Coturnix japonica: one gene and its partners. Each later gene encodes a partner of the first gene's protein in a complex. Links are inferred from orthologs where the notes say so. Each region holds a gene or a part of one and is shown in the gene's direction. Other genes may lie near its edges. The genes, in order: CNOT10, CNOT8 and CNOT7.

Evidence for each region.
Region 2: CNOT10 (region 1) and CNOT8 share a complex: the UniProt entries of both Homo sapiens proteins name them as parts of the CCR4-NOT complex. The link is inferred for Coturnix japonica from reciprocal best matches to the Homo sapiens genes CNOT10 and CNOT8.
Region 3: CNOT10 (region 1) and CNOT7 share a complex: the UniProt entries of both Homo sapiens proteins name them as parts of the CCR4-NOT complex. The link is inferred for Coturnix japonica from reciprocal best matches to the Homo sapiens genes CNOT10 and CNOT7.

What each region holds. Positions count from the first base shown.
Region 1 is NC_029517.1:37,323,406-37,327,054, forward strand, and holds part of CNOT10 (CCR4-NOT transcription complex subunit 10), read left to right. Parts: intron 1-648; coding exon 649-810; intron 811-1,052; coding exon 1,053-1,203; intron 1,204-1,969; coding exon 1,970-2,115; intron 2,116-3,021; coding exon 3,022-3,108; intron 3,109-3,649. UniProt on the Homo sapiens protein: Component of the CCR4-NOT complex which is one of the major cellular mRNA deadenylases and is linked to various cellular processes including bulk mRNA degradation, miRNA-mediated repression, translational repression during translational initiation and general transcription regulation.
Region 2 is NC_029528.1:5,997,857-6,001,991, forward strand, and holds the start of CNOT8 (CCR4-NOT transcription complex subunit 8), read left to right. Parts: upstream 1-1,287; 5' UTR 1,288-1,379; exon of another isoform or gene 1,380-1,668; intron 1,669-2,044; 5' UTR 2,045-2,130; coding exon 2,131-2,247; intron 2,248-2,749; coding exon 2,750-2,943; intron 2,944-3,642; coding exon 3,643-3,804; intron 3,805-4,135. Other genes in the region: FAXDC2 (fatty acid hydroxylase domain-containing protein 2), read right to left, coding at 49-178, 264-505. UniProt on the Homo sapiens protein: Has 3'-5' poly(A) exoribonuclease activity for synthetic poly(A) RNA substrate. Its function seems to be partially redundant with that of CNOT7.
Region 3 is NC_029519.1:56,947,962-56,951,610, forward strand, and holds part of CNOT7 (CCR4-NOT transcription complex subunit 7), read left to right. Parts: intron 1-2,538; coding exon 2,539-2,649; intron 2,650-3,649. UniProt on the Homo sapiens protein: Has 3'-5' poly(A) exoribonuclease activity for synthetic poly(A) RNA substrate. Its function seems to be partially redundant with that of CNOT8.

The sequences.
Region 1 (3,649 bases):
GTATTACAAAGCCAGTGCGTACATTTCCATAGAATCATAGAATCGTATCATAGAATGGCTTGGGTTGGATGGCACCTCAAGGTGAGCATAATATTCTTGAATAATTCATTCAGCAACATAAATTAAGGCTCTCTTGGGAAAGTTAGGAAAGGTGTGTAACCTTCCTCTTCTGCCGGCCTGTGTTAAGCAGACATCCAGGGGCTAAACTGGAACTCAGTCTGAAGATGAAGTGAGAGACAAACATAAAAAGGTGGGCCACGAGTTAGACAGGCAGCTGCTCAGTGTACGTGTGATGGAGACAGATTGTGGAAACTGAGGAAATAAAGAATCTTGAAGCTTGATATAATGACGCCAAAAGAACAACAGTTTTTGTAGAAACATGTTTGTAATAGTTAACTGTTCTATTTGTTCTTTCTCCATTGAATTCTTGTTCAGTTTTAGTTAGGACCTCAGCTTTGACTTGCTTCTCATACATTTCAGTCTGCATGACAAATGGAGTTGGTGTGGAGCTGTTTACTTGTGTTGGTCAGGGAAATCCTACATTGCTCTCTAGACTCAGAGAGAGGAGGAGGCTGCCATTAAAAATTATTGACTTATTAGAGGATACAAAGTTTAAACTAATCCCTTTGTGATGCCTGCTGTTTCCAGGCGGGAAATTATGATGCCTGTTTGCAACACCTGAACACCCTTCAAGACATAAACAAAGATGACTACAAAATAACTTTGAATACTGCAGTTGCAGAGTTTTGTAAAAGTAACCAGACCACAACAGACAATTTGAGACAAACCCTGAACCAGCTGAAGAACCAGGTAATGCAACCACTGCATGATATTTAAGCATTGTTAATGGGGATGGGATCTTCCAGTGAAATAGGAAGACAAGTTTTGCCTCTTCCCTTTGTTAACTTGTAACTGTTACTGCCCTATCTTTAGGCTCATTAGTACCTTTGGATTATTTTTCTATAATAAACATTTGATGCTTTAACATCATAAGTTTGGAAAGCTTAAGGATAAACAAGATTCAGTTCTGTGTGTTTTGGGTTTTTTTTCAGGTTCACTCTGCTGTTGAAGAAATGGATGGTTTAGATGATGTTGAAAATAGTATGCTTTACTACAATCAAGCTGTTATTTTGTATCATCTGCGTCAGTATACTGAAGCTATATCAGTTGGAGAGAAGCTGTACCAGTTTATAGAGCCTTTCGGTGTGTAGGCAGAAGAGTTTTGTTTGTGCAGTAACGAGGCAGAGTAAATGATCTTCCTCTGCTTATCAGAAAAGTGACTTGTAAACGTACATAATAGTAATAAAAAAAAGACAGGCTTAGGAATGATGAGTAATCTTTACTTATAAGGACAGCATTTGAATTTGGGTGGGAAGGTGCTTCAGAGACACTTAGCAGATGAGTATAACAAAACTAAAACAGATATTTGACAACTTCAGGAGGTATTTTATGAAGCAACAGGGATGAAGTGTTTGTATGTGTGGGTCTCAACAAATCCAGTAAGTATAATGCTGTTTCTCCCTCAGTTCTCAGTATGCCTGTGTGGAGCTTACTCTGTGAAACCAGCCATGCAGAGATGTGTTTGTATGGAATCCTTAAGTTCTGTAAGATTCTGTATAGGCTTATGGCCCATCAGTCTCTTTAGACGCTGGATCCTTGGTGCCAGTGTGCTTAGATCAGTACTCAAAATCAATGTGAAGTGATTTTTAAGCTGTCTTTGGTCTTTGCTTTCAGATGACATGGGTATGAAAGAATTACCTCTTTGTGTTAACATACTTGTCTGTGTGATGTAGGTGTCTGCTTTTTTATCTTTTTTTCTTATTTAGTATTTGGTTTTTCTCATAACATTGTGTAGATGCACTTTGCAGCTGTTAAAGTGGTTTTCTAATTATTGCTTTTTTTGTTCTGTGATTGTTTAGATAGGAAGGATCTTACAGTCCTAATACTGATCTACTTTTGTTTGATATAGAGGAGAAGTTTGCCCAGGCTGTGTGCTTCCTGCTTGTGGACTTATACCTGCTGACTTACCAGGCTGAGAAGGCCTTGCATCTCCTTGCTGTCCTGGAAAAAATGATTTCACAGGGCAACAATAACAGCAAGAATGGAAAAAATGAGGTAAGCTTAAAATGGCATGAATGCCGCTGTCTTTACCAAAGGTATGTTTTTATTAAATCCAAAAGTAGTCTTTTAAAATAGTTCAGAATTTTAAAGCTGTTAAGATATCTGTAACTTCAGACAACTGCCACATTTTAATAACCAAGTTAATTGTGTACAGTAGCTGTATGTTCTTTCCTTCCCACCCTTTTTGTGCCAAGAGCTAAGAAGTGTCCCAAGTCAGAGACTTATATTAGAAAGTCAGTTGTCTTCAGTGCCAAATATACTTGGTTTTCCTGGTGTCCCAGATGACGACTGTGTGATACTCTGTGTTTGAAATGTCAGTGAAATTAGTGCCACAGGGTGAGAAGTCAAAAATTCCTTTAATGTATTGTCTGGAAGTATGAGGTGGGCTTTCAAATGCAATCTTTGATATGTACCTTTTGGAAACTACTATAGAATGGGTAGTGGCTTGGAAGTGGAAAGTGGACACTTTTGTCTTCTCCTGTTGATAAAATGTCACACTTAAGATACAACTTTATTTTTGAGTATATAATAGTTCTGCCAGAGAAAATATGGAGAAGAGAATCAGGAGCATGCAAACTATATTTCTGAATAAGAGCATTCTTAGAATTCCTCAATGCTGGAGCAGATTAGCGTAATGCTAACCTTCATATAGAGCTCTGTACCTCATAGGCTGATGTCCTCCTTCTTTGGTTTTGATTGCAAAGCTTAAGTTACAAGTTTTTGGTGGAATATATGGACATTTTTGTATTTGTTTGTTTTTCTTTTAACATTATTGAATATCAGTTTTCATCATTAAAAGAGATTGTTTTTACCAATCACCTTTTAAGTTCAGTTTACGGTTTCCTTCATAAGCTCCTAATGCTTTTTTATTTATTTCTGTTTTTTGTTTTCTTTTGACAGTCAGGTAATAATACAAATAAAGATTCCTCCAATCAAAAAGCTGAAAGTGGAGCTTTAATAGAAGCTGCTAAATCTAAAATACATCAGGTGGGTGTGTGTGTGATTTGTACAAGAATATCCATTCAGTCTTCCTTAAAACTGAGAGCTGCCTGCCTCAAATCTAGCTCAGCATGAATTGTGATATTGTCATCTTCAATTTCATTTTGTAGGTCAGAAAAATGAATTTAACTGACCCTTTTTTTTAAGATCCACGTACAGGAGAAACTGACCTAAGAAAAATCCCAGTTTCAATACCTACATCTTAACATAATTTTGTTAAATGGCATTTAGCTCTAATAATCTTACATTTGTTTGTCTGCAAGACAGTCTAAATCAGTGAGGTTTTATTTCCCAGTACTGCTCTTTGGGAAAATGAGTGAAGAAACAATATGCTTCACTATCACCTTTTGCTTATTGGTTGAACAGGTAACTGTCTGGGATTTACAGGTTAAATTATTTTAATTAATTTGTTGTTTTATGTGCTGATGTTTTGGTATTTGAATGTAAAGCTGTTGAATGTTTGCCAGTGAATAAAATGCACGTTTGCCTCTTGCAGATAGGAATTGTATAAATTTGTTGTTGATATTCT
Region 2 (4,135 bases), on another chromosome or scaffold:
ATGGTGAAAGTATAAAACCTACAGAAAGAAAATATAAGGATAACCTACCTGCTGTCCACAAAAGCTGTGCATCAGCCACGCTGTACAGTCAGATACAGGACTAGATGCTGTGTCTGGTGGCTCCCCTATTGTGCCAAGCCCTGCATAGCTCAGAAGGCAATTACAGCTCCTGGAAAAGCTTACAGTTGTATTTTAAACATACACAGGACATTGCCCTTTAGTTATTTCTAAGGTTTCAATCGGGTATTTTTAAGCCACGATACCTTTGAGCTCCGTCTCTTTGCTCACCTCCTGCTGGCTGTAGCCCAGTAGAGGTCCTTTGTACACAGTACAACTCCTCACCTTTCACTACTGCTGGGGAGACTTTATGAGGGTTTAACAGCGGGGTGTTTCCAAGCAGGAGTTGGCTGTCCCCTCCCAGACAAGTCATGTGAAGCCAGCACCGTGTCACTGTTAGTGCTGGCACTGCTCCCTGTTGCCACTCAGCCCAGTGCTCAGAATACATCTCTGTAGGTAGGAGTTTGTCATCAGGGTTGAATGGCTGTATATGTGAATAAAAAAGGCAGCTATACCTTAACGATAAGTCATTTCTACCAGAAACTAACTAGTGTTTTCAGCACAAAGCAGCTGATGCCAATGCAACCGAATGGCTCAAAGGCGCATTTGTGCAATGCGTGTGAGTTACGGGGCAGTCTGTAAAGCCAGCAGCACATCTCACTACATATATAACCTGCACCAGCTGTCCCTGCATCAAAGCTCCGTCTATAGGTCCTGTCTATGGGATGAGATGCAAACAGGTTCCGATGTGGTTGTGCTCAGTGGTGTTTCAATGCACTTATAGACCACAACGCCTGTAATTACAGCACTGCGAGGTGTAACTTGATGCAGATATGGCCCCAATCTGCACCACTTACCCCATATACAGGTTGCCCAGTTATTTGGGTTATTTGCATGTTATTTAGGCTCGCTCTGGTGACATAATTCATCTAATATGCTAAAGCAGGCGATAAGAGTGAACTGTGCAATGTCAGCGTTCATTTTAACCCCCGTTCAGTTCAGATATAGCTTCTATCTGAGGGATTTACAGCCTTTAAGATTAAAGGATGCCTTGCTTTGCTTTATACACCGGGTCACAGCGCAGCGCCACGTCACGGCCGGACACACAAGGACACCAGCACTGCGCATGCGCAGCTTTCCCCGTTCCCCCTCCGCGGGAGCGCGCACCAAGCGCGCGCCACCACACACCGCACCGCGCGCCGCTGAGGCTGTACCGGAAATCTCGCGAGAACAAAGCTCCAAACCCGGAAATCCCACCTCAGCCTGAGGCGTCATCGCGCATGCGCTGAAGAGAGAGAGAGAGGCACGGCCACAACTTCCGGGTAGGGCAGGTAGCGCCTGGGGGAGGGGAAGGAGATGGGGAGCGGAGCAGCGGGAGAGCGGGGCGGGACGGGACGGGAAAGGGAGGCACGGAGGGTCCCAGCGGGTCCCGGTAGGTCCCGGTAGGTGCGGGGCCTCTCGCGGTGCGGTGGAGGGCGGCGGTGGCGGCCGTGTCCGGGTGGGCCCCTGCCCTGAGGCGGCGCGGGTCGTGTAGGCCTCAACCGGGCCTGGGGCGGCGCTGGGCCGTTGTTTGTTGGCGGCTGCCTCGGGGAGGCCGATGGTGGTGATGATGTGCCGTATTGTGCCGTACTGTGCCATATTGTGCCGTACTGTGCCGTATTGTGCCGTGTTGTGCTGTACTGTGCCATATTGTGCCGTACTGTGCTATATTGTGCTATATTGTGCCGTATTGTGCTATATTGTGCCGTACTGTGCCATATTGTGCCGTACTGTGCCATATTGTGCCGTACTGTGCCATATTGTGCCGTACTGTGCCATATTGTGCCGTACTGTGCCATATTGTGCCGTGTTGTGCCGTATTGTGCCGTACTGTGCCGTACTGTGCTGTGCTGTGCCGTACTGTGCTGTATTGTGCTGTATTGTGCAGCTCGTTCCTTTTTTCTAGCTCTTTTTTCACTCATAGCTCCGTTCTGTCTGTTTCTTGCAGCACACTGATTAGATCTCGCAGCTTTCGGTTGTAACGCGGCCATCTGAAGGATTGGGGGGAGCTGGCTGTGCCCTGTGCCCGGCAGGATGCCAGCAGCCCTGGCGGAGAACAGCCAGGTGATCTGTGAGGTGTGGGCCAACAACCTGGAGGAGGAGATGAGGAAAATCCGAGAGATTGTGCTGAGTTACAGCTACATCGCAATGGTAAATGCTTGACTCATTTGTCTTATTCAAGGAATAGGGGCTAACGATAGTTGGACCCAGAGATCTTTTCCAGAGTCGATGATTCTGTGGTGGTTATGACAGCTTTGAGTGGGGATGCTAAACTCAAAGATAGGAGAGAAATTTGTAATGAAAGCATGATGTAAAAATACACGTGCCTTCAGAGCGCATAGAATTCAGCGCAGAACAAAGTTGTGTAAGTAAACAGTAAATGTGTATCTACATATTTCATATTGTATGTTGATTGGAAACGAGCTGCCTTGCTTCAATATCATCTCATTCTGGCCTGTTGTAATTGCTGTGCTGAGGCAGTGGGTACAGGAAGATGTGAAGGCAAAAATTCTCTCATGTGCTGGATCCTCTATGAAAGTTTTTGTGTGTTCTGAGTCAATTGATGTCATTTGACTTGAGAGCACAAATTGCTTGCTTTGTCGTTAGGGTCTGCCTTGATTTGCAGCCATAAGGTTTCCTCTTCCTTTTCTAGGACACGGAGTTTCCTGGGGTTGTTGTAAGGCCGATTGGGGAATTCCGCAGTTCCATAGACTATCAGTATCAGCTTCTTCGCTGTAATGTGGACCTTCTGAAAATCATCCAACTGGGCCTGACTTTCACAAACGAGAAAGGAGAGTATCCTTCTGGGATCAACACCTGGCAGTTTAACTTCAAATTCAACCTCACGTGAGTCTTCTGCATTAGGGAGCAACACCAGAAGAGATTATGTGAGGCTCAATGCCGGCATGACAGGCATTGCAGTATTTCTGGAATGATGTTATGATCTCAAACTTTACGTGCTTTTTATACATTTCCATATATTTTATGTAATCAATTAAATGCATGTATACTTACTATATACTTACTATAAGCTGATCATGCAGTTCTTGCAAACAGAAGTGGCAGTGTTTACTTGCACAACTGTCAGCCTCCTAAAAGCATTGGAGTCATAACAAAGAGGTTTTGACACTGAACGCTATTTGACTCAAAGTTATCATGTTTGGTTTGAGTTTTATTGACACTGTGACTCAAAGTTATCGTGTTTGATATGAGTTTTGTTGACTTCTCTCCCATCATCTGTGGCACTTCTGTTCCCTCAGTGTTACTTTTCAAGATGTCTGTTGTGTGAAGGTTTTATGGCATTCTTCAGGTTTGGCAATAGCGACAGAATTAATATTTGGTTAAGATTGCAGAATAGCTTGTTAAATGCATAGGAGTAATGGTATTAAAAGTGATTTGAGCTTCCTAGAGACACAGCCATGGAGCTCAGAGATGGATTGCCTGCAGGTCACTCTGATTTTCCAAAATGCAACTTGTGAGAAATCTTTTGGCAATGAGCCTTCCTTGTTAGCACCCTGACTGCAAAGCTCTGCTTTTCTCCTTCAGGGAGGATATGTACTCTCAGGATTCCATAGACCTCCTTGCAAGCTCTGGGCTGCAGTTCCAGAAGCATGAAGAAGAAGGGATTGATACCCTGCATTTTGCTGAGTTGCTCATGACTTCAGGGGTCGTCCTTAGTGACAGCGTGAAATGGCTGTCGTTTCACAGGTAGGTCTGAGGTGATTACTGGTACTACAGAACAAGATGCCTCTTTTTGGCTTAAATAGTGCTGCTTTGGACCATAGAGACTAACAGACCTTAAGGAGATGGATTTTAGCAGCTGTGCAGTTCTTAATATAAGTTTTAAATTGTAAAGGCGAACTTTAAGTACTGGTACTTCATTTTATCTCAGCACCTTCTGTGATCTGTATTTTGTGCGTGTTTTGCTGTTATCTTCCTCTATGGAAAAGAAGGTTGTAAGTATAGAAAAACACCCTAATGAGACGAATGTAACACTGATACCAGCTGAGTACAGGTGTTGTTTATCAGGTTTCTCTAT
Region 3 (3,649 bases), on another chromosome or scaffold:
ATATTGTGACTCAAAAATTGTCATGTTTGGTCTCTATTAAATGGCAGAGAATTGAACTGCTGTGCAGTGGTCCTTTATTGACTTTTATAAGTTATTTTCATACAAAAAACAGACTTACTCTAAGCTTCCCACCTACCTCTGCCCTCACATAGCCAAAAGTGAATTTTTAGCATTGATAAGACAAGTGTTTGAGGATGTGGAAACTGTTTGCTGCTCTTACAATGAATCCACAGTATGCTACTCTAACAAAAATGGACATCAGTGTACTACACAGCAGGCAGACTGTGACTAACTCGAGGTACTTGTGTAGTACAGGTTAAATTCCTGCTTGGGGTCTAAAAATCTTTTCATGCAGGCAACTCCATACAGTTTTTGCAGTAATAGCAGTTCTAAAGTAGATTTATAGGCTGTTCTTTCATTTTCTTCTGAATCCCTTTCTACTGCCTTTCTTCCCCACAAGTTAAATATTCTTATGTAGAGCGTGAAGTCTTTCCTGTAATAAAATTTCAGTAGCCTAATAATCTTTGGAGGCAATTGTAATGATATGTTTACAAATGTATCTACTGGTGACTATATGTATTGGAAGGGTTATTTTCAAAGCCTTCTTTGCTTTGCTGCTGTTCCTATAAATTTTGCAGCCACTGTGTAAATAGTACTGATTTGTGATATCAGGTGCTAAGTGAAGCTGGTATAGATAGCCTAACAGCTAGCACTACGTAATGATGAGGCGATGTTAAGTGTCAGCTTGGGAAAGTCAAGAGTTTACAAACAGCAAATAGTGCTTTGGAAAGGCAACTGCTGTTGCTAATGCCAATAGGAAAGTTAGGTTGTAGAGAATGTGCTTTTATTTGAGATCTGATTGATTTTCTGCCCATCATCCCTGAACTTCCTTAAGGGTCTAACTTAAACCACTGAATTAGTGTATATGCAGTGATTGAATGTTATCTCTAAGCAAAGGAAGAAAACAAACTTCAGTGCTTGACTGTACTACATATAGGGTAATTCTCAAATTTAAGCAAGTGATACTCACCTGTTCAAGCTAGAATAAAGCTAGACATGCCAGTACCGTGTTGGTTTGCTTGGTGTTACTTGGGAATGTTATTACTGGAGATTTGTTTTTAAGATGTGTTGCATTTAGATTCATAGAAATTTTCATAATGTTAGGTCTGACCTCTTGGTCAGATTTCTGTTAGTGTATCAATTCTAACACTGACTGTTATACTTTTACCTCTTATTGTTTCCTTTTCCGTGGTTGAAACAGGCTAAAGGTTTTGAGGACACAGGTAACCTCAGATGCTGGGCAGTATTGATTTAAGATCGTTTTGTCTGTGTGATGTTTTTACCCTGCAAAGGCTTGTATTTTCACTAAAGGCTTCTCCTTTTCTCCTTGGTTTTTGATCTTTCTGGACTATAAGGCACATGCCACATGCTTTAGTGCATTTCTAGGGATTTAAGGCTTAATGTTTTTTAAATAGTACAAAATTATATTCCCACAGTTTACAAAGATCACAGTTGAAGTATCATGCACATCACTTGAAAGATAGATGTATCTACATAAAACCAAACTAAATTTCTGACTGTTTGCTTCTGTAAATGGTTATTATAGGTCTTATAGGGGCAGGTAGGTTTGCAGTGATTTCTGTACCTTTTCAGTATGTTATTTCAAACCATGTGTCAGCATTCAGGCAGTGAGTGTTAAATGGTTCCTTTTTGCATGTGGGATGCTTATACTCTTCTGTAAGAGGTAAGTTTCATTCCATGTGGTGTGATTGTTAAATATACATCTCTGAGAGGAAGTTGACTTATGTCTTTGGTTTTCATTGTGTTGAAAAAACAACTTGCAAAACAGAAATCCATCATTTGTATGTTCTTTGTTCCTACCCTCTTGAGGCAGTTAATGGAACAAGTTTTAAAGATGAGTAGAATGTCTTGTAGGGTTGGGCTGTGTACTTGGGTTGTTTTTTTTTCCTTATTTTCCTGTAGCTTCCTAGATATTTAAGGATACTCCTAGTTTTTATAAAGGGAACTGAAAAACCCTCAAATGGTCTGTTAAAAAGTGGAAGAGAAAATGAGTCTGTTTCAGAGGAAGCCTGGATACTTTTAACAAAGCACCCATTTGTAAGAACTTGAATTCTTGTATTTGTAGAATGACATTTTTACTGTTTAAACTTTCATTCAAATAGAAGGGTTATAGGAACACCTTGTTTTGTTCTTCAGCTTTGCCAGTCCTTGCAACCTCTTGAAGGGATTGTTTTGTTAAGTAGCAGCGTCTGTTCCCTCGGGAGGATGGAACATGAAGCAGTAGTAGTTCTATTGGACACAGGCGCTGCTTGATTTAAGCTCCTCTGAGATGGAACTGAATTCAACTGTTGATAGAGAAAGCTTTATCTTCCATCAAAGAGACTATTTAAGCTTCTGTGCAAGCATTTAAAATATGCTGAAGTTGAAAGTCTGGTATAACAAGTTCTTCCCAAATACTGATGTTTGGTTTTGTTTTCATTTTTTTTTTCAGCAGTTAACAAATGTTTTCATTTTCAGGGTGGATTGCAAGAAGTGGCTGAGCAGTTAGAGCTGGAAAGGATAGGACCACAGCATCAGGCAGGATCTGATTCTTTGCTCACAGGAATGGCCTTTTTCAAAATGAGAGAAGTAGGTGCACGTGTCTTGGTTTTGTCTCCATAGTAGTAATTTGCTGTAATAGATGGAATTGCTGATTCTGTTACGTCTGATGAATTTTATGGTGATCTCTAAGGGGCTTCAGAGGCCCCTGCTTTCTTGACAGACTTAAGACTGTGTTTTCCCCAGACTAAGTGTAAACCAGCCCTACTGTTTTCCCTGTTTAGCTACTGTGAGCATCACTGCTTGTTTTCATTGTATGGCTGGCTTTGTTGTTGTTGTTGTTTCTTTCTTTCCATTGCCTGTTTTGCAGGATTTCTTCTGCAAAGTGGCTGCTGGAGCCAGGCTCTTTTCTGGGTAACTGTATTCGGGCTGCTTTTCTGCAGAGCTTCTGCTGAGCTGTAATACCCAGCTGGTGTGCACTGCTGCCTGTGCCAGGCCTAGCAGCAGGGAATGAGCAGCTCTGCCTGCGCTGGCTGCTTCCAGCTAAAACTTGCGGGGTACATATGTATTAAACCTGTAGGCTGCTGCAGAGAACGATGCAATTGTTCATCCTGAGTTCACCTTTGGTAAAGCACAGACAAAATAACTCAGATTCTAAAACATGTCAGTCAATTTTGCAGAAAGGGAAATCAAGACTTGTAAGCTTTGTGTGTCCATGCTACTTGTCTGCATGCATTGGGAGAATATTAGGATATTTTGTATGAGCAGAATAAACAAATTCTAAACAGGCTTCTTGAAAGCAGTTACACTGGACAAATGCTGGGGCATCTGAATGTGACATTCTGCCAGGAATTTGGTGTCATTTAATAGTGGCGATAGCGAGCCTCATCTTTTTGTAGGGTTTAGTGTTGAATGCTGAGGCTTCTACTTGCTGTAACGTGGCCTTTTTTATAAAGGAAAAAAGCCGACTGTGAGTTTCTAACAACTGCTAGTGAAACAGCAGATGAAATATAAGTGCTGTGATGTAATCTGGCTTGCTCATCACAATGCTGTTCTCCTCTCCTGAAACTGTTGATGTTGTTGAGCTGGT